4 linked regions of the Drosophila melanogaster genome follow. The protein of the gene in region 4 interacts with the protein of the main gene of each other region in a pairwise test. Each region holds a gene or a part of one and is shown on either strand. Other genes may lie near its edges. The genes, in order: CG3323, CG5280, CG11905 and CG5062.

Region 1 (5,041 bases), 120 kb from region 4:
GCTTTATTGAACCATCTCTCCTCGCTGTTCTTCCTCTAACAGAATATGTGTTCTTTGTTCAGCTCTGCGAACACGATTTTAACTCTTGCTTTGGTTTCTAGCAATGCCACGCGGCATGCACGCAAACAAGGCAAGGCTAAGCCGCCTGGCCGTTAAACAGCTTACCCGATACCTGCTTAAAACCGCTTACCCGCTTACCCGCTACCCGATCGCAAACCGATTTGATTACGTTTTTCTAGCCCTAGTCGAAACAGCTATGCACCCGCGTTCGGATGGAATCCCGCCCGAATCGGGTCAGAGTTCAAACGAGTAACGGGTAAAGGTAAATTTCTCCACCGCCTACATTTAAGATTTTAAACGGTTATGGTACACACACGCACAGGCACTGCTGTACATAAAGAAATGCTTGAATAAACTTAAAACCTATAGAAATGCTTTTTATATTGTTTCGCTTAACCGCTTCGCTTAACCGATACAGATTCGAATGGGAATCGAAATGCTTTAGATGCTAACGGTTTGCAATACACATGAAATTTTATTAACTTTGACGTGGCTTCGCTTGGGCCCGAGTAAGAAAACAATAAATTCGAAAAATAATGTGAAATCAAACACCGAATCCGGTTATCGGTGCTTTTCCCGCTACTTGCTATTATCGCCACATTTCCCGCTACAGTTTTTCTCTCTCCTACTTTTGCATTCACTGCTTCTTTTTCTATGGCATCTTGGCAATATTTCGATGGTTGTGTAGCTTAGCAGATAATATCCGGAGATCCGATGGCCATGATGAGAACTAATATAACAGCGATCTGGACCATTCCCACCAATACGGTTTTGAGCAACTTCAAACGCACCTTGGGCTCCACGTCACAACGAACGGGTGGATCGGGCGCTCTACGAGTTATTACTTTCCTGGTCTTCTTTGGTCGCGAATCGAGATTGGATTCCAACGCGTCTTCCTCTTGCACTTTGCCGTTCGGCTCCTCCACTTTCATTCGCTTCCTTGTCCTGGGACTGGGATTGGGTGTAAAGTCTGGTGAACTAATTTCCTCTTCCGCTTCTCGAATTTTCTCCAACTTGGACAATTCCACGTCCGTTTGAGTGGTATTGTTCACCTGACAAGGACATTCAGTTAGACGATCGCCCTGCTCCTCTGATTTCACTGCAGGAGTAGGAGGAGCAGCAGCAGCAGCAGCATCATCCACGCCCACTTCGTTGAGACGCACCGAGAGGCGTGAATAGGCAATGGCTCCGCCATAATGGGCCATAGTTGCTCCACCGCCACCCGCCTCGCGTGTGGCCACCTCAAGCTGTTCGACGGTGTTAGCATCCATGATTTTTGAATCCGCATAGGCCAGACTATTGAAGAACATTGTGTCCTGATCCAAAAGATTAAAGGATCCCCCAGCGCCGGGCACTTTTCGCAGTTGCTGAAACAGCATATTCGGATTCTTACGCAACTGACGAAAGTTGGTGCACTGCAATGGATCATCCTCGTTGAGCTGGACCAATGGCGGTTCCTCTTTGGGTGCCGGTAAATAGAAGCATTGCGACTCATCCGCCGTCTTTAGCTCGTTAAGTGTTTTGGTCTCGATGCGAAACTCTTGGACAAAGCCCACATGGCAAACGGTGCCAATGATGCGTGCCCGCATCTCAATAGCTGGTATATATTCCAAGCGCAAACAACACAATTTCCTAATGGGCAGCTCGTCCAATTGATTGGGACTGGTGCGCGGTGTGTAGAAACGTCCAGATGATTGCCGGCTTATATCCGTAATGATTACGTTGCTTCTCGGCTTGGGTATATTGGTGGCCCTTAGTGTCGCCTCCAGTTTTTCGCTCACCTTATGCAGCATATGTATCTCATGCTGCAGCACGGGCAGTTTCTTTGACACCTGATCCAATTCCAATTGGCGCTGCTCCTTCTCGTACTGATCCTTTTCCAGCTGGCGCTGATTATTGTGCCTGTGGCACACCTCCTCCAATTGCAACCTCAAACGGTCCTGACTGCCAACCGCCTTCGACTCGAATTGCTGCTGGCGCTGCAGCATGGCCGCCAATGTGGGACTATCCAACTGGCTGGAGGTGGTCGATGTGCTCTGTGCCAGTCCCTCGACGGGCGAGAGTGTGTATCCCTCGCCGGCGCCACGGCTGCATAGAGCCTCCTCGGAAATGGTCCTCTGCAGCTTGAATGTCTCCTGTTCCTGCAAGCTAAACTCACCATCCTTTGGGCCATTCAAGTGCTCGCTGCTAGCGCGCAATTTTCTGGCAGTCAACAGAGCTTTGACCTTCTTCACCGGCTTGCATACATAGACGAAACTCTTGTTCCCCTCATCCGGCAGGCGTATGGCCTTGGCCAATTTGATCTTGTCGTGATCCATTGAGCTGCCGCTGTCGCTTATTAGCTTATCATCACTGCCGTCCTGCAGAATGCTGCTCTCGCTGTCATGTGGTGTATTCACCAAATGTTTAGCCTTGTGATTGCCCAATGGCAACGTCTGAGATTGCTCCACCGTGACCTCAGTGGTCAGAGCTTCGCGATATTGATTCTTCCTCGGCGATTTGTCCGCTCTGTTTGGCAATTTGGCCACTCGGGGCAGGAAACTACGCTGACGACTGGCAGTGGTGACATTCTTATTGGTGCTTGCATGGGTGCTGCTTAGGAACAACGGAGGGACCGGTATTCCGGACTTTGGTGGTTGTGCGTAACGATGTCTGGGCGACAATTGACTGGTCCAATCCTGTCCAGCTGTGTTGCAGTTTCGAGCCGAACGATTGCTGTTGTTAACTGAACAAAAAAAAAAAAAAAAAAGAAAACAAAATAAGAAAAAAAAATCTGAGATCTTTGGTTGGACGAAACTTACCGGTGGGCAGGCCACGCGACAGCATCTCCGTTCTGGTGTAGGTCATCTTGCGGCGGACATTCTGATTGCCCGTCGCTTGTCCCTCGTTGCCGACGTGATTACCCTGGTCGCCGCCCAGCTGAACCTGTGCCTGTCCCTGCATTTGGATGACTTGCGGCAGTCCCTCCTGGCCGCGATCTAACTGGCGTATCTGATTGATTCGATTGCGATTCATGTTGGTTGCTCCGCTACAGCGATCTATTGCGACATCTGCTATATATATATATATATATATATATATATAATATGTGACCTTCGTTTTGTGTTCGATTTATTGTAATGTCGAGCTTATAAAATAAATATTGGGAGTGGGAGCACTGTTCTAGTCGACTGACTGAGTGAAACGAACAGCTGGGACTAAAATCGAAATCGAACTTGACAGCCGAACGCCGGGTGTTCAAGGACTGCTGCGATGCCATTTCCAAAGCCATCTAGTTGATCCTAGTAGTTTTTTTTTTAGCATCATGGAATTCTTCTTGTTATGTGGCTATGCTATTGATTTCTTTTAGTGACCAAAAGTGCATTGGCGCCCCAGCATTCCGTGCCTTGCCGGGCATCGACAACTGGTGCGAGATCAATTGCCTGCGCTATCCGCCCAATTGTCCGGAGGACGCCTGCCAATGTCCGTAAGTATGCACATGAATAATATGTATCTAACGAGATACATACATAGCAAGTTCGAATCTAAACCCATATCAATTGCACAGTCAGGAGTGCGTGGCCATTGGCGAGTATGCTGGACAGGATGGTGCCGACACCTACTGCATGGACAAGTGTCTCAACTATGAATCGGAGTGTCCGCCGGACAGATGCCGCTGCTACTAAACCGGATTGCGAGCCACAGCTGTGCTGCCCACCCATTGCCCATGCGGAGGATGCGAGATGCGATATGCGAGATCTAATGAATTGAATTTAATCGAAGACACTGCTCTAAATTGTTTGAATTTCAATGGCTTGGCAAGGGGGGGTGCCTCCGTTTGTTGGGCTTTCCGTTTCAGTTCTCAGGCGTCACCGCAAGCCTTACTTACTCCCTCCTGTACGCGTCGTACAGAAAGGGTCGGGTGAATGCCTCGAGCAGCTCGCGCTGTTCGCGCAATCGTCGAGTCTGCGCCATCGGCGACTCAGCGATGTCGATGTTCCGCCGGGCACGGAAAAGTGCCGATACCGTGCTGCCCAGCTGCTGCCAGCGTTCGAAGGCCCGGGATTCGGTGTGCGGCGCATCGAGCATTACTTTGGACGACATCACTGATGCCGACAATTCAGCGATCTGTGCAGCAGCAGCAGCAGCAGCAATGTCTGTGCTGTTGGTTTCCGGTTGAGGTTGCTGTTCAGATTCCAGATTGAACTGAGATTGGGACTGGAGGTCGGGCTCCGTTTCCGGCTCAGATTTGCCAGGAGATGGCAAGTCAACGGACAGCTCATCGGGTGGCGGCATTGTCTGACTGAAGATGAGCACCTCGGCGCGCTCCTCGCGAGCATCATCCTCGCTATCCTCCAGGGGCAGGGCGTCGGTGCTGCCGCTAACTAAATCCCGCACGTGCGCAAAACTGGAAGCGATGCGACGCAGTGAGGGGTCATCCTTTTCCTTTTTCGTCGGCATTGCCGGCGCATCGGCATTGGTTTCCACCGGCGCCTTCTTGCTGTAGGCAGCATCCATTGTGGTTGCTTTGGTGGCGATGACATCGCCGGCATTGGTCGTCTGCTTCTGGCGCATCCTATGCAGATTTATGCTGGAAAATTTGTTACCATAGCTTTGACGCATCTCGGCGCGCTTGCGACGCGCCTCCTCCTCCGTCCTGGCCGCCTGTTGGTCCCTGGCCATCAGTTGCTGCGCCTTTGACATCGTCTAACTCCAAACAGGAAAACGAAATACGGCAAATCTTTAGTTAACACTAGCAAAAAGGAAAAAAAAAAAAAAAACAAAACAAAACACGGACCGAAACGAGCGCTGAGAATTTCGAGAGTTTCAAATGTGCGTCGATTGACTTGGTTACCAATTTGTTTTCAGAAATATAAATACGGTAGCGTGCACTGGAACAGCTTTTGCACAACCTACCAGGATCCTATGTACTACTAATTAACTACTCAATTTTCGCTCGCTTTCAATCACATCTTTAATAGATCATCCTCAATCATCTTAA
Region 2 (3,300 bases), on a different chromosome or scaffold from region 4:
CTGTAATCGTTTTTAGTTAGTAAGACGATAGTTTGTTTTAATGTTAAGTTTATTAACTGTATGCCAAGGCGCCCCCAAAGATATGATCAATTGACTCGGGCTCGCAGGACCAACGGCTGGCCGATGAACTTGTGGAGCCCATGCTGCACTCCCCGACGGTAATCCCATGTCGGTTGTCAGCGGGGGCGTGGCATCTTACTGTCAATGTTATTAATGTATAGGTTTCGTAAATGTTGTCGCCATTTATGTAGTTAAACTAACAAGCCAAGCCCCACAACACACACACACACAGATCGCAACAACAGAATACAGTAACTTCTCTCTACCTAGGAAAATTTGGCCAAATTTGATCAACATTTTACGCTATTCTAAACCCCAATCACAACATCAACTATTTCATTCACTATCAACAACGTCGCCAAATGAAAGAAATACCCCGATCTGAACGACGACGAAAAATGGTTTATCTAGTAAAAAATTATAAAATGAACTCTGCATCGTGACCATGAGACTGACTAAGATTACTTTTCGCAACTATAAAAACTAGAAGGAAGAAAGCTGGATGGAGAGGGAATTGAAAAGTGAGAATTGAGAAACGAGAGCTGATAATTGTTTGCGCGAATCAAAACTAGGCTTGCTGAATGAAGTAGTAGTCACATAATGAATATGTTTATATATACACGTACACATAATTTATTTTAAATTAAAAGGAACATATTTGCTGAACCGTAACTGCACCAGAGGAAATCGCAACGGCGGAAACTACCACTAGACTAAACTTTAACAGAAAAGAGTTTCAATGTTTCACTGTTTGTGTTTGAGAATCGGAACCACATATTGTATTTTGCATATTTAAGCGTAAGCCAAATCCATGTATTGCATACCGATCATGATCACCATTGTCATTGATTAGATTATCTCTACTATTACTATTATGTTTGCTTTAGTCAATTGTTTATAATGTAAATGGCAAGCCAATCACTCGATATGTTATGTTTTAGTTGTTTTTTTAAAAATTATATATATTTATATATACAAATGTATGTCGCTAAGCTTAGGTTCAAACAAAAAACGACGATGGGCCAAGCTGGAAAAAAGAAGGCAGCCAAAAAATATTTACCTTAAGAGCGTAAAAACGTGTAGTCTAATTGTAAATGTATAAAAACGAACAAATGCATGTGTAAAAATCTTGGTTGGAAATGTTTTTGTTTTCTAATTTCTCGTCGATATTTCCAAGATTTGTTTGTTTACAACAACCGCAACACTGTAAATCGCAGATGCTTTTATTTAATAATAAAAACCTATTGTACGGCCAGTTGGGATACAAAGATAATCGAAACCTAATTGTCAAACTTTAGCGAGTTCAAAACGATCCACAAACTAAATGGTTTATTGTAAAAGTGCAACTACTCGTAGACGAATGTGCATAAGTCAGTTAAATGTTCGCAAAATTATCATAATGCGAGCATAAACCAAGCGTGTACCTACCCACACATATACACACATACAATACCTACATATATTTATTTTCAATAAATTATTTCGAGATTTAAAAATACCCATGCTGTTTACCTAACAACCCAGGTTGCCATGCGTCTCCACTTTTGTTGTCCGGCGAAAAACAACTTCATACCGAGGCTAGCCTTCAAACACACCAAACGAAATTATCGAAGCGATTTTCTATAGTATATACAAGCCTTACTTTTCCGGAGCAAAAATTATTAGCTTTACAGAATGAGCCGACATCGCTTCAACAACGTGCAGATCAAGGCATTGCCCGGTGGTCTGATGGCCCACCACGAACCGGATGCGGATGGCGGACAGCCCGGTTCGCAGAAGCTGCCCATGTGGCCCAGTGAACGCATTCCTCCTGGCGGTGCTGGAGCCTTCCACTCGGCCAAGGTGCAATATAGCAAGGAGACAGCTGATCTGATCCGATGTAAGTGCGTTTTGGGCATGCCAAATATCTAAGGAATAAGAGGATAAGAGGACCATCCATAAAGATAATCGTGTACATTTTCCGCTTCGTTATAACCTCCCTTGTTAGTGCTTGTCAAGGAGTCCAAGATGTCGATGTTGGTACGCAAGCAGATCGATGAGAGCCTGCGCAATGGGGAGCCATTGCCATTGCCCGAACCGCCGCGTCCCAATACCAACAACGATCCGGACAAGGAAACACTGGCCATTTTGGATCGGGCACGCAATGCCAAGCGTAAGAATCTGCGGCAGATCGAGGCGAGCGGAGCTTACAAGCAGAGCTATTACCGCCCGCCCGCCGACAACCGAATGCATGGAGAGAAGGCCAAGTCGCAGCTGCAGTTCACCATGGCCGGCACTCATTTGCCCGATCCGGCGATCAAGCCGCGACGTCGTCCTCGCGAAGAGCAACTGGTGACGGAGGAGGATCTCATAAACGAGCGTAAGTTGGAATATTTCTTAAGCGGAATAAAGCGGAATTATACATTGAGTTGGCATGCTCCTACAGTTTTGGACCAAATCAACGAGCGTGCTGAGTGGTTGACGGAAATGGAGTCCATGGGCCAGGGTAAGAAGTATCGTCCAGAGATTCGAGATCAGATTGCCGAACGTCTGCGTCGCATTCAGGCGCTGGAGTCCAAGATGAAGATGAAGTCCAATGGCGGCTTCCGTTTCGTGGACTAAATGTGTTATCCTGTTTTTAAAGTTTCATGATTTCATGATTGAGACGACGAGTAAACCAAATAAATAAATTCCAAGATTCATTTGAATTTAATGGGAATTTATGGTAACACTCGATTAATAAATAGCTTTATTCAACTTATTCGCATTCGTATAATTTGGATTTCGTTAAATTTTCATTTGATCTGGCACATATTTAATACACACTCATTATAACAATGCAAGAAGCCCAAACGCAAGCACTTTAGACCTTAGATTTTTGGCAAAATGAGTATAAAGTACAATGTTGAAAATTCAAGTGGTTTAATTAAAAGTACCGAATAAATTACTGGATTATTAGTTTATGTGTATATAGAATATACGGCTGTATATATCTGGACCTACGCACTACATTTTGTATATATATATATATATGCACGCATCTGTAAGTTCAAAGAGTAATGCACCTCCATTCAAAAATAGACTTTTGTGACCTCAGTTTGTGCTCAACCTCGGATTCAGGGGGTGGTTGTGTTTAGCACGACGGCATGTGGCAACGAAATTCGCTGGCTGCTTCTGCAAACCGATTCCGGATCAAGTAGCCGCTAATCACCTCAGCCACCTCGTGTGGACGGTCCTCGTGCACGGCGTGACCGCAGCGGG
Region 3 (6,870 bases), on a different chromosome or scaffold from region 4:
GTGGTTCGGGTCTTCACTGCAGGCAGAGCCTGTAGCTTTTCTGGTTTCTCCAACTCGCTGGAGCTGTCATCAGCTAAGCTTTCGGGTCGGCCAGTTGTGGTAGTGGTCGTTGTGGTTGTTGCACTGGCTATGGTGGCTTGATCGGCACTGGCGATGGTGGGTTGCACCACATAGGCCAGGGGCAGATTGTAGGCGGCGTAGTATGGGGCACTGAACAGCACGGGTTGATAGGCTCCATAGGGCGTGAGGTCCTGGGCCGGAGCAGATCCTGCAATGAGTTTTCCGGACTTCTCTGCGACGGGTGCTCCTGGTGGCCAGGCCTCGATATTGGTTGTGCGCCAGTAGGCACTTGAGTTAGGATAGTTTTTGGTTTAGGAAGAGTGGGATAGAGGAAAATGGTGAAGAGAACCGCCGGTTAGTCGTATATTATTTACAGCAATAATTCGAGGGGTTAAACTGTGTCGGGTTAATATCATGCGGAATAAGTGTGATATCTAAAACTACTATGTACAAGATGAAAGCAAAAGCCCAAACAATTACGAAATACAAATATTTATTAGAACACTAGACAATACCAACTATGGATCCTAACTAAATGTGCTAAATAATAGCTATTAGGTTTAAGCCTCGAACTGGATTAGGACTCGAACTGGCCCGTCTCCAGCCCCGCCCCCTGATCCGCCTCCATGGTTGTTGTGCCCGTGGGTGGAGCATAGTAGACCGTTGGTCCTGTAGCCACTATCTTTCCCTCTCGCGGAAAACTTCTCGTCTCCAGATCGGTGCGTGCCAGGGCATCTTTAAGGTCCACATCTGCCGGTATGGAGATCACCTTGGCCCCGGGACCGGCGATGGTGAGACTCCGTGGATGGGTGAGAGCATAGCCACCGGGACCAACAATCGCCGTTCCTCCGCTGCCCGCCGTGGCCACGCCCCCGGGTCCTGCGATAGCGATGCCGCCCCTGCGAACCTTTAGCCGCTGAATGATGATTCCTCCTTCGCGCAATGCCTGCTTTTGGGTGCTTTCCTGAGCGGTGGCCACCTGGCTCACAGTGTGCATCAGGTGATGGCCCTTGTGAGCAAACAAGTGCTTCTCTGAGGAGGCACTGTTGTCCAGTTCCGCGGCTGTGTTCTCAATGGTATCCACATCATCGGCCATCCCATCGCCGGCGCCCTCGTTTTCATCCTCCCATTTATAATCCATCGAATCGATTGAGTGATTCTTCACAGGAACATTGCCAACAACCACAGGACCTTCTCCAGCTGTGGCCGCCATTGGAGGTCGGAAGGGGAGCTTGAAAATGTTTTGAAAGGCATTCTTGATGGCAGTCGAGGTCTGATTCTGCATCTCAGCTATATTCATTCCGGGCATGCGGAATGGACTTAAGCGATTCCGATTGGGCAGCAAGCCACCAGATGGTGGTAAAGTAGAACTCAACAGGACAGGCGCAGATGTAGCCTTGATATTAAGGGATGTGGATCCCTGGTAGATTTGCTGTTCAGCATCCTTTCCACTCAAGCGAACGGGTTTCGCTGTGGAACCAACCTTCTTTCTGTTCAAAGAATTTAATTCCGGTGACGAAGTGGGCTGAATCTTCTGTGGCTTATGCACGGGCTTCTCGCGGGAGTCCAAACGATATTCCTTGAAGTTCACAGGCACTGGAGCCTTTGTGGTGGTCGTACCAATGGTGGTGGAATTACCCCTTTTTGGGGTGCCATCTTCATTGAGAGCCAGTTCTCGGGGCAGGAAGAACAGGTGATACTTGGGCGTCGTCTTGCCCTGTTTTCTTCCAGCCTTCGCCTTGCCATAGAAGCTGTCCACATCGCCAATGATTTTGTATCCCTTTATCTTGTATTCCTGCGAGGCGTGCTCCTTGAGATACTCCTCCTTATTGAGTTTGTACAGGTGCACGGGCACCACAAAGTGGGCGGGCAGCTGCTGTGCTTCTTGTTCGGAACTCGGCTTCGGTACCTCCACCTGTTTGGGTCGGAAGTAGAGTTGCGCTTTCTTCTCCTCCTTGGAGGTGCTCTCAATTGCCTGGCGCAACCTGGGAGGCACATTGTAACTGCCCGCCACATTTCTTGTGAGTTTCACCGCCCTAATTGAGGGTTCTAACAAGGTCTGACCATTACTTCCCGAGAAGTGGTGCTGATGGGCGTGAAATGGCTGATGGGCGGGCTTGGGGAACAGGTATTGACTGGAATCAAGGATCGGTGGCAGCTTGGGCTGCTCCGGCTGCTTCTTCACGTAGCCAAAGGCCTCGTTAACCTTGGCTATCTGCTCGAGGATGCGCTTGGCCTCGTCCGCCTTTTCCGAGGACGGAGTGGCCGCATTGGGCTCAAAGTCCTCGGGAAATTTGACCAGCCGCTGCTTCTGAATTCTGCAAACGAAAGGTGGGGTTTGTTTGGTGGTCTCTATCTGTTGGTGGAGTTAGCTTCTAGTTGCTAATGCAGGGTAATGTGTTGTTGGGTGGAGGGAAATGAGTTTTGAGGGTTAGTCACAAGTCTGGGCTTTTTTCGGTTTAGTCACATAGTTCTAGGCAAGCGCATCAACTTCTACTTGGAATGAGCATTAGCGTTGACACAGTCACATTTGGCAGGCAAGGCATTTCATGGTTATTTGGGGTCTTAGGGCTGGGTAACTAGCTACTAGTCTACTTACTCGACGGCCAGTCCACCGTGCTGTTGAGCCTGGCCAAGTGCCAAAGAGGCCAGAAGCAGTGTTGAGAGCTGAAAGACAAATGTGTGACAATAGATGAATGAGATCTATGATTTATGCCGGTTAGATAGGGTGTCTGTATTCTGATGTCGTAATGGATACAAAATTCACACGTGTGGAATGCGGTCAAGTCCCGAAAGTCGCGAAAGTCTCTCTCTCCCTGCTCCTCCAGCACATTTGCATAATTTCTTTCGCTGCTGAAAGCTACGCCGAAAAGTGAGAGCCAGGTGGCAAGGAACGGCTTATGTACTTGACGGATTTTCCCTCGAATACGATTGTCAAGAACCTCACGATCGGCAAATATTTGACTCACTCTCGCCGGCTCTCCACATCTTTGGCAAAGTCAATATTGACGCAACCGTTAGCCGGTGGAAACGACCAGCCCGCACGCCTATCTATCAGCGCCGAAATGTCACAAAGCCGAGAGGAACTGAGACCAAAAGCCAAAACCAAAGCTGGATTCGAAGTCGAGGCTCGTGTTGTGTCATTGACCTGAACCTCTAGGCGGCTGTTACGATTTCGGTGCCGAAACGTAACTCGAGAGAAGAGATTCTGGCGCAGAGGCTGTCGAACCTGGTTGCCATTGATTTGCAAGAACTCTTGCATCCCCAAGCAGTAAGATGTATTTCTGTCTGCTTTCTTTTGTGTATTTCGCCTTATTTATTATATTGCCCTCACATAACGATGCCGATTCGACCCCATATCAGGTGTGTCTTGTCCAAAAATAAACTGGGTTAATGGCTCGAATGCAAAGTTTAAGCGCAGCATTTTATGTTCTCAAACAAGTTATAAATGAGTCTGTCTCCTGATCTTCACATCCGATCAGGTGTCTTTTGGTCTTAAATGATATTCCAGAGCCATTCCAATGCAGCTAATTGAGCAGGGATTGATGGACTTGGGACGTGTGGCTAACTGTCTACACTCATAAATTGATTAATTTATGAACCACTATCGAAACGATCACAAACTCGAAAACAAACCAGTGCACTTATAGTTAAGAACCCCACACAAATGTGACCGATTGTTTGATAGTTGGGAGGGGGAAAAGAAGACTTATATTACCATTTGTTAGCCCACGCATGATTTTTATACGTTTGCGGCATATTAATTTTATGTTCTTTGAGTCATAATTATTTTTTGGGCTTTTCAACCCAAGTGGTTGTATTGGTTGTGGTTATAATTGAATGGCATTGTTGCTTATGGGAGTCGCTGTAGAGTTTTGACTTTTAAGGGCATGCTTTTCATAATGGGAATATGAATAATGCAAGGAACAATACTTCCTAGGTATGAATGATTAATTCTCACTTTTTAAATTGGGGTGGGGCTAGAATATTGTCACGTTCAAATGGAATGGACAAAAGGGTTTCACTTTTCAGAAAGAATTAACTCTTTTGAAAAACCTTTACTAAGTGAACAATAACTGGCACAAAGAAGTCTTAACCTTTTGCATTCATATAAAAAAAAGTTTCCCCAATATAGTTCTTTGCGTCCAAATTGATTTGTGATTATTATAAACCCCAAAAAGATTTTAGGCACTCTTATTAATATTTGCATATGGCACAGAGCATAATTAAGGCTAATTAAGGCGATCAAAAAAAGGAAAGAACCAAGCCAAGAATCAAAAAAGTCGCTTAGTGAAAGTTAGTGTCGATTCAGAAGTGAAAGAAACAAAAGACTTAAGGCACGAACTTGGGCCAGTTGACGAGTTAATGAGTTCAGCGGCAGCACAGAGCAATAAATGATTAATTGCGGTCAGGTATAAACTAGTTTCGTTTTGTATTCCCAAAATGTGAAGTTAAGTCATTCATGGTATTTAATTTTCTTTTTTATGCGATTTGACTTACAACAAGAAAGCGCATTTTAACGCGAGGTTCTGGTGAATAGTTTCAGATTTTTCAATAAATGCTTGGTGTTCGTGGCGTTGACCAATCCTCGCCTTGACAATATATCCTTGAACTGCAAACGAGAACGGGAATGAGTGGCACTCTGGGTTATCACGCGGCAAAATCACACACACTAAAAGCACTATAAAACCAATCCTGCTGAGCTTTCAATTTACGATTGTTTCAGGTTCCGTTGTTTTTCTTTCTTTTTTTTTGTCACGCACAATAAATAGGGTCTGGAAATGGAACTCCTACCAAGAACCAAGAGCCAGCGAGCCAGGCGACGTCTGAAGATGAACTGAGTGCTGGCCGGGCCCAGCGCGTCTGTTTATAACATTTCCATTAGCGATGCAAACGACGAAGCGAAAGAAATGGCCAAGAAAACAGGGCCCGATCAGGTGTAAGAGAACTGGGTTTTGGGCAGAAGAGAGAGTCGAAGAGAAGACCGCGATTCGGGCACGTAGTCGAGCGCCTTGGCCTGGCTTTTATCTGGGGGCGTGGATCTGTGGGATTTGGTTACCAGCTCCAGGGTACACAACACCAATTGATATGCAGGCTTACAACTCTAGGATTTCGCAGATCGAAATCTTCCCCGATCCCTTGGGTTAGGCAAATAGTTTGCCTAACATATTGTCAGATATTTCTCAAGCATTTGATTAAATGTGCTGACAGTCGCTTCTTCAGTCTACTGTTTCGCAAACTCGCACCTAGCAAGAACACAGAATCACAGCGCTGACTTTGATTAATTGGCCGTTTATTGGCTTGATTGAGTGTGACTGGACAGGAGCGAAGTGACTGGCCATTACAAGTGGAGTGAGCCACGAGAATAGAAGCGAAATGCGTGTGGGAAGTGGAAAGGTAATCAGCTCGGAACGGGCCCAGAACATGACATAAGCCAAAATGGTAAGAGACTTACCGTGATGAAAGAATCGATTCGTTGCCGGGCAATTCAATTAAAATGTTTGCCTGGAACTCGTTAGAAAGTTTCGCACATAGTGACTCAAGAGTCATGTTCTTTTTTTTTTTTTTTGATTTGACAAGCACTTCGGCGTGAAGACTTCACACACTTCTCGGGTATCAACAGATGTCAGGATTAAGACTTAGCTTCGGACCGTTTTTGATCGATAATCATGAATAACAAATGTCTGAAATCAGAGAAATTGATTTCAGGTTCGTGCCTTAAGTCATTTGTTTTCATTGCAGACCAGTCTTTATTAGCCCAGAACCATTAATTTTGTGATTAACTTTGCTGTGATACAACTGCAATTTATTCTTTTATTGGCTTTTATGCCCCGAGCAGCCAGCTACTGACTGCGCTGTGAAATAATGCATATTCCTTGATTAAGCAGCATCGAACGGGGGGTCGACCTTTGTGGCACACGCAGGCATCAATAAAATTGCCACAAGATTTATGGTTTCGAGTGCGCAGAGCCGAAGGGAGCATACGAAATTAGCAGCAACACGTTGTAAGCCCCGAATGCGCCACACGCACCACTTGATCCACAATTGGAATGCAGCAATCAAAAGGCGATAAATCGAACCCCAACTGAAATCCAAGCAGCCGAAGAGCGAGTCGAGAAGTTGAAGACCGAAGACCGAAGACCGAAGACCCAAGACCCAGAGACCTTGGGGCCTATTTATAAATGCAGGCGAAACGGGACTGCTAGTGGGATGTCGTTGCCTAGGCCCGGGCCAATTAAGTCTGACCTTCGGCGAGGAGGAGAATCCCAGCCCAAACCGTTGTTTATGAGGGGGAAAATAAACAGAAACAGCTAACTGGCACCTGGGAGAGCCGGAGCCCCAGTAATTTGTGGTTTCAATGCAGGCCGTTCTGCTGCTACGCTAACCCAATTATGCACCTCGGCTACTTCCCAGGTGAGCCATTGATTTCTACGCTGAGAACGTGGCCATTTCAGCCATACAAACCCTAGACCCGGCCGAATAGAATCTATGTCAAGCTATGGCAAGCTTTTTAGTGCTCTTCTGTACGTTCTTTTAGTGCATTCGGCGAAGAAAGTTTTCGAGTGCGTAGGAACTTGTTTCAGGGAAATCACTCGCTTAGATCTCTTGACATTAAAACTTAATTGTGGCAGTGAAACTTTCGGTCAAAACTGGCCCATGTAATAACTTTTTGTTTTAGCAAATATGCATATTATTATTGCTTATGGGCTTTTCTTGGCTTCGCGCGGCCAGAAATATATTTTATTTAGGCCACGCCGTGGACGCCAAGGCTTTCCGTTCGATTCAAATTATTTGGCAAGTGCGCGCACG
Region 4 (4,467 bases):
AATTGATAGCTTCGTGCGAGAAGGCGTGGCTGTGGCGCCTCTTTTGTGATTTATACTCGATTTCGCTGCGTGTTTTGCTTAGTTTTTATCCTTTATACGAATAAATGATATTCAACAAAACTGCGCGAAATCCCTAGATCATAAACTAGTTAATAATTAACCTTAAATAAAACAGTAACACCACTGCCCAAAACTGCATTTGAACCCATTGTTTTTGATTACTTGTGTGGCTAATTATTTTTGCAGCCGCAAATGCGACAGGATAAAGTTGACTTTTAGTTGCACCGAATACCGTGTGCAATCTGTGTGCATATTTAATACATGCAAAAGAGTGAGCGCAGCGATAGAAAAAACTTTGTTTGCTCTATCAGCTGCTGCTTAATGAGTGCCAGTCTATATATCCTTTTGTCTGCGGTCTGCAGTTTTAACTTGTTGAATTGACAGCAAACAAAAAAGGCGAGGAACACACGGAAAAGTTGCCACCACAGGGTGGCTAAAATACGTGCATATACATTATGTACATTTTATATGTGCTGCAAGTTTTAATTCCGCCAAGCTCGAAAAGTCATCATCTATGCCATTGTCAACTTGAGTTCATGTGTGTGTCTGTGTGTGTGTGTGTGTGTGTGTGTGGGAGTGAGTGTGTGCGCGTGTTTGATGCTGTCTGTCTATGGATGGATTTTTAGAAAATATAACTATCTAAGTGAATTCAGCGCCCAGCTTCTTTTTGTTGCCAGCATTGGCGACACGACCCTTTAGCGATTGCACCGCCAAATTGGGCAGACATCCGCGCTTTTGTAGATCATCCAGTTTGACTGTGATCACCGTATCGATTTCCTTTTGCCGCTGCGCCTCAGCTGCCCGCTCCCTTTCGAAGGCCAAGTGTTCCTCCTCCAGTTCGCGGCGACGAGCCTTCTCCCGTTCTTCGATTTGGCACGAGACACTGGAGCGCAGACAGGCCTTTTTGATGGCCTGCTCCTCGGCCTCGCGCTTCATTTGCTCCTCGTGCTTCTTTCGATACTCGATCATCTCCTTTAGTTCGCGTTCACGTTGCACATAGAAGCAGGCCTTCATTTGGCTAAGATGCTCCATTTGCTCCATATTGGCACGCTTGAGTTCGGCGGCCATTTTGCGTTCCTTTTCGGCTGCCTTACGTTCGTTTTCTCTGTACTTTCGTTCGAGGCGTTCGTGTTCCGCCAGGAAATGCATCTCCTCGCGATTATCCTTAGCATCGAGAATCTTTTGGCCGACTGCAAAGAGAACATCCCGTTTGCGTTTCTCATCCGCCGCGATGGCTTCGCGTTCCGCTCGCTGTTGTTTCAATTGCTGCTCCTTGAGCTTTAGATACTCGTAGGCCCTGTTCTCATCTCTTTGATCCTGTTCGCACATCATCCGTACGAAATTGCGATGCAATTTCGTATACTTATTCAATTCATCCCGATAGGCCAGCTTACGGCGCGATTTCATCTCGCCCTCTGCCAATTCAGCCTTTTTATACTCATCGACGGCGGCACGCAAGTCTCGCGCCTCCAATCGCAGACGATCCTGGGCCAGGAAACGTAACTTTTCGCGATCAGTGATTTGTTCACGCACTGCGTTGCCAAATTGCCGGCGCCTCTCCTCTTCGGCCTGATCTTGCTGCTCCACCGTGCCCCATTTGGCATTGTTGTAGTCGCGATTCTTGCGAGCCATCTCCTCGTCATGATCGAGTTGAATGCGATTGAGTAGCTTCCTTTCCTGTATCTGAGCCGTCCACATGGCACTGCATTTGGCCTCGGATATCGCACGCGTGGCATCCTTAACTCGCACATCTGACTCGTATTTGGCATCCAAGGCGCGGTGTAGTACCTACAATGGGTGGTGGAGATATACTTTCGGAAATATGGCTAAGAACCATAAACCAAAAAACTACCTGCAATCGTTTGGCCTCCGCACGCCGATCCTCGTTGACATCCTCATCGGCCTCGTCATCGTCCCTCTTCTGGGCCTCGCGCTCCTTCTCCCTGCGCTGCTCATCAATGTCGTGGAAATAGTTACGCATACGTTCCGCTTCGGCTGTATGATATTGCTGCTCCTCCATCCGGCGATCCTGTTCCGCGCGACGCTCCTCGGTGGTACGCGGCCTCGATGCCCGCATGCGATCCAGTTCGCACTGTGAGAGCTCCGCATAGCCCTTGGATTCCCATGATTGACCCTTGATGTGAAAGAACGTGGCCTTGGCACCGTCGTATTTTCGGGCTCGCGGTGGCGCCTTACCGCCACCCACCGCCGAACGTGTGATCTTCTGTCCAGGCACGGCTACTGGATTCGGTAGACGTGTGCCGGGCGGTAATGGTCGCCTCTGAACCTTTGGCTTTACGGGTCTATCACGGCGTACGCCACATAGTGGCTCCTCTTCGACGGTCGATAATGGTGGCGTTTCCAGATAAATCGGCTTCTTAAGTCGATCATAGCAATCCGGGTGCAGTTTCATCGCAGCTCGCGAACGACATGGCATCACCATTGGCATCTTGACGAATTCTATTCTATATGTATATCGCGTTTGAAATTGCAAATGGCCAGAGGGGTGTGGGGTAAAACGCAATAGCAGATTTCTCGCTTAGCTATTGAGTTTGTTCCTTTGTTCGGTTTGTTGGCGTGTCTGTTTGTGTTATTTGCTCGGAGGCTCTTGTTTTGTTTGCTTGTTTCGTATATTTCGTTTGTTTATCCAATCGAATCTGGCAGGTTAAATCTACATGAATTCAAAGCTTGCTGGGTATAGCATTACAATTACAGGGTATTTGCTGGGAATGTAGGCTCACAGGTACTTTTTGAATCATAGAGTTCCTTTAATAGGTCGGTTATACATTTGAGTATCCCAAAATTAAACATGCTCGTGTACGCTGCTTCTACACTTGTTCACACCTGACCACTTGAGTGTCGTTTTTTGTCGAGTGGCAGGTGAGAAGGAAAAACTAGAGGATAAGTGAAGGGGGGGGGGGGGGGGCGAGGATATATGGAAAGCTAGTTGGGGGAAAAAGGGAAAGGCTGCCGCCGCTGCTGCATTTACTTCCGCCTGCTTTGGTTGCATTCGAAGGCGTTGATGCTTGCATTTTGGAATAGCCCCGACAATTTGCATTCTTTGTATGTAAGTGCCACGCCCATGGCCCGCTTGCCCCACCGCCTACTCTCCCTTCGAAATCCAGCCACCAGGTAGGTGGCATGAAAATTTAATTACACGCCTCGCTGAAACGCAGTGCCTGAATATAGGGGTCGCTGGTTTATTTTTTTTATATATTTTTTTTGTGAAAATCTCGCTGTTGCCCGTAGATTAGGCTGGTGAGAGAAAAAAAAGGATAATGGAGGAATATATATAGTTCAACAAGCTGGCTTTTAAGCAGGGCTATAATACCGCATGTCACTTGCTGCTCGAAAGTGCTCGAAAATGATTATTTTTGCTCAAGTTATGCTTATTTTACGGTATTTTGGTATATGTATAACTTAACTAGCCGGAGTCTTTTGTGCACTCGATACTGACCAAATTCCATTTTAGTCGTCATATGACGAATGCTGGAAGAGAATTCGAAACCGAAACTCAATATCCAGCCCATAGTGTTTGTCTTGTCTATTTGTGTGGCGCTTGTGTTGTTGGGCGCACAAAGAGACATCTCCATCTACTACGCTACTCGACACCCAATACCAAATACTCGAGATTCCGATGAGATGGTGTGGTGGCCGTGGGGCAAATGGTTGCCTTCACTATGGACAACCAACAGCGACCACCTCTGACTGCATGGGTTCCGCCCGAAATACACTCCTGTTCGCCAGACATCAATAACACCGATGTTTCTCACATCGCGCTGAGCGTGAAGTTTTTGCCATAAATATGAATTATTTTTTTTTTTTGGCAAGCAGCTAAAAATCATATTACGTACTATAATATATACGACAAGGGGGGGCATCGTCTCCGTAAAACTTTTCTCACATTTCAATGGCAATAAAAGTGATTTAATAAGGCGCAAAACAACACAACAAAAGGGGCAAAAAAAAAAAAGGGGGCGTACAAATTTTTGGGCAAGGGCAGCGGGCAAGCCAGCCAGAAAAGCGAAATCAATTTGATTTGTCGCCGTAGACGACGACGACGATGGTGGGCGGTGGGACGATCCACCGACCACGCCCATTGCGTGTGATTAAGTGCGCGTTTAATGTGCACGCCATGGCCATAAAACAAATTGTATGCAATCCTGCCACCGAAAGCTTTCGCAATTTACTCCCCACACAACTCTGGAGGAGATTTACCCGGCTTCATCTGTGTGCGTGTGCGTGTGCGTGTGCAATGCTACTACAACTACTACTACAACTACTACAACAACAGCCTCCGTGGGTTTATTCCTCTTTTCTCGCAATCCTTCTTCATTTCAGAGTTCCGTAACTGATTTTGACCCGTAGTCCGTTGGGGAGGCTAAAAACTTTTACAGCTCTCGCTCT

What was found.
Region 1: the proteins of CG5062 (region 4) and CG3323 interact in a two-hybrid assay, tested with the Drosophila melanogaster proteins (one large-scale study listed by BioGRID).
Region 2: the proteins of CG5062 (region 4) and CG5280 interact in a two-hybrid assay, tested with the Drosophila melanogaster proteins (one large-scale study listed by BioGRID).
Region 3: the proteins of CG5062 (region 4) and CG11905 interact in a two-hybrid assay, tested with the Drosophila melanogaster proteins (one large-scale study listed by BioGRID).

Annotation. Positions count from the first base shown.
Region 1 is NC_004354.4:5,302,470-5,307,510, forward strand, and holds CG3323 (uncharacterized protein), read right to left. Parts: upstream 3,223-5,041; 5' UTR 3,076-3,222; coding exon 2,862-3,075; intron 2,786-2,861; coding exon 750-2,785; 3' UTR 519-749; downstream 1-518. Other genes in the region: CG42749 (uncharacterized protein), read left to right, coding at 3,410-3,526, 3,608-3,725; CG17764 (uncharacterized protein), read right to left, coding at 3,925-4,743.
Region 2 is NT_037436.4:8,988,568-8,991,867, reverse strand, and holds CG5280 (uncharacterized protein), read left to right. Parts: upstream 1-1,639; 5' UTR 1,640-1,734; coding exon 1,735-1,939; intron 1,940-2,047; coding exon 2,048-2,419; intron 2,420-2,485; coding exon 2,486-2,661; 3' UTR 2,662-2,799; downstream 2,800-3,300. Other genes in the region: CG5068 (uncharacterized protein), read right to left, coding at 3,173-3,300.
Region 3 is NT_037436.4:16,930,634-16,937,503, forward strand, and holds CG11905 (uncharacterized protein), read right to left. Parts: upstream 4,904-6,870; 5' UTR 4,855-4,903; exon of another isoform or gene 4,673-4,854; 5' UTR 4,576-4,672; coding exon 4,561-4,575; intron 2,728-4,560; coding exon 2,660-2,727; intron 2,379-2,659; coding exon 638-2,378; 3' UTR 539-637; downstream 1-538.
Region 4 is NC_004354.4:5,179,672-5,184,138, forward strand, and holds CG5062 (uncharacterized protein), read right to left. Parts: upstream 2,699-4,467; 5' UTR 2,510-2,698; coding exon 1,913-2,509; intron 1,849-1,912; coding exon 700-1,848; 3' UTR 511-699; downstream 1-510.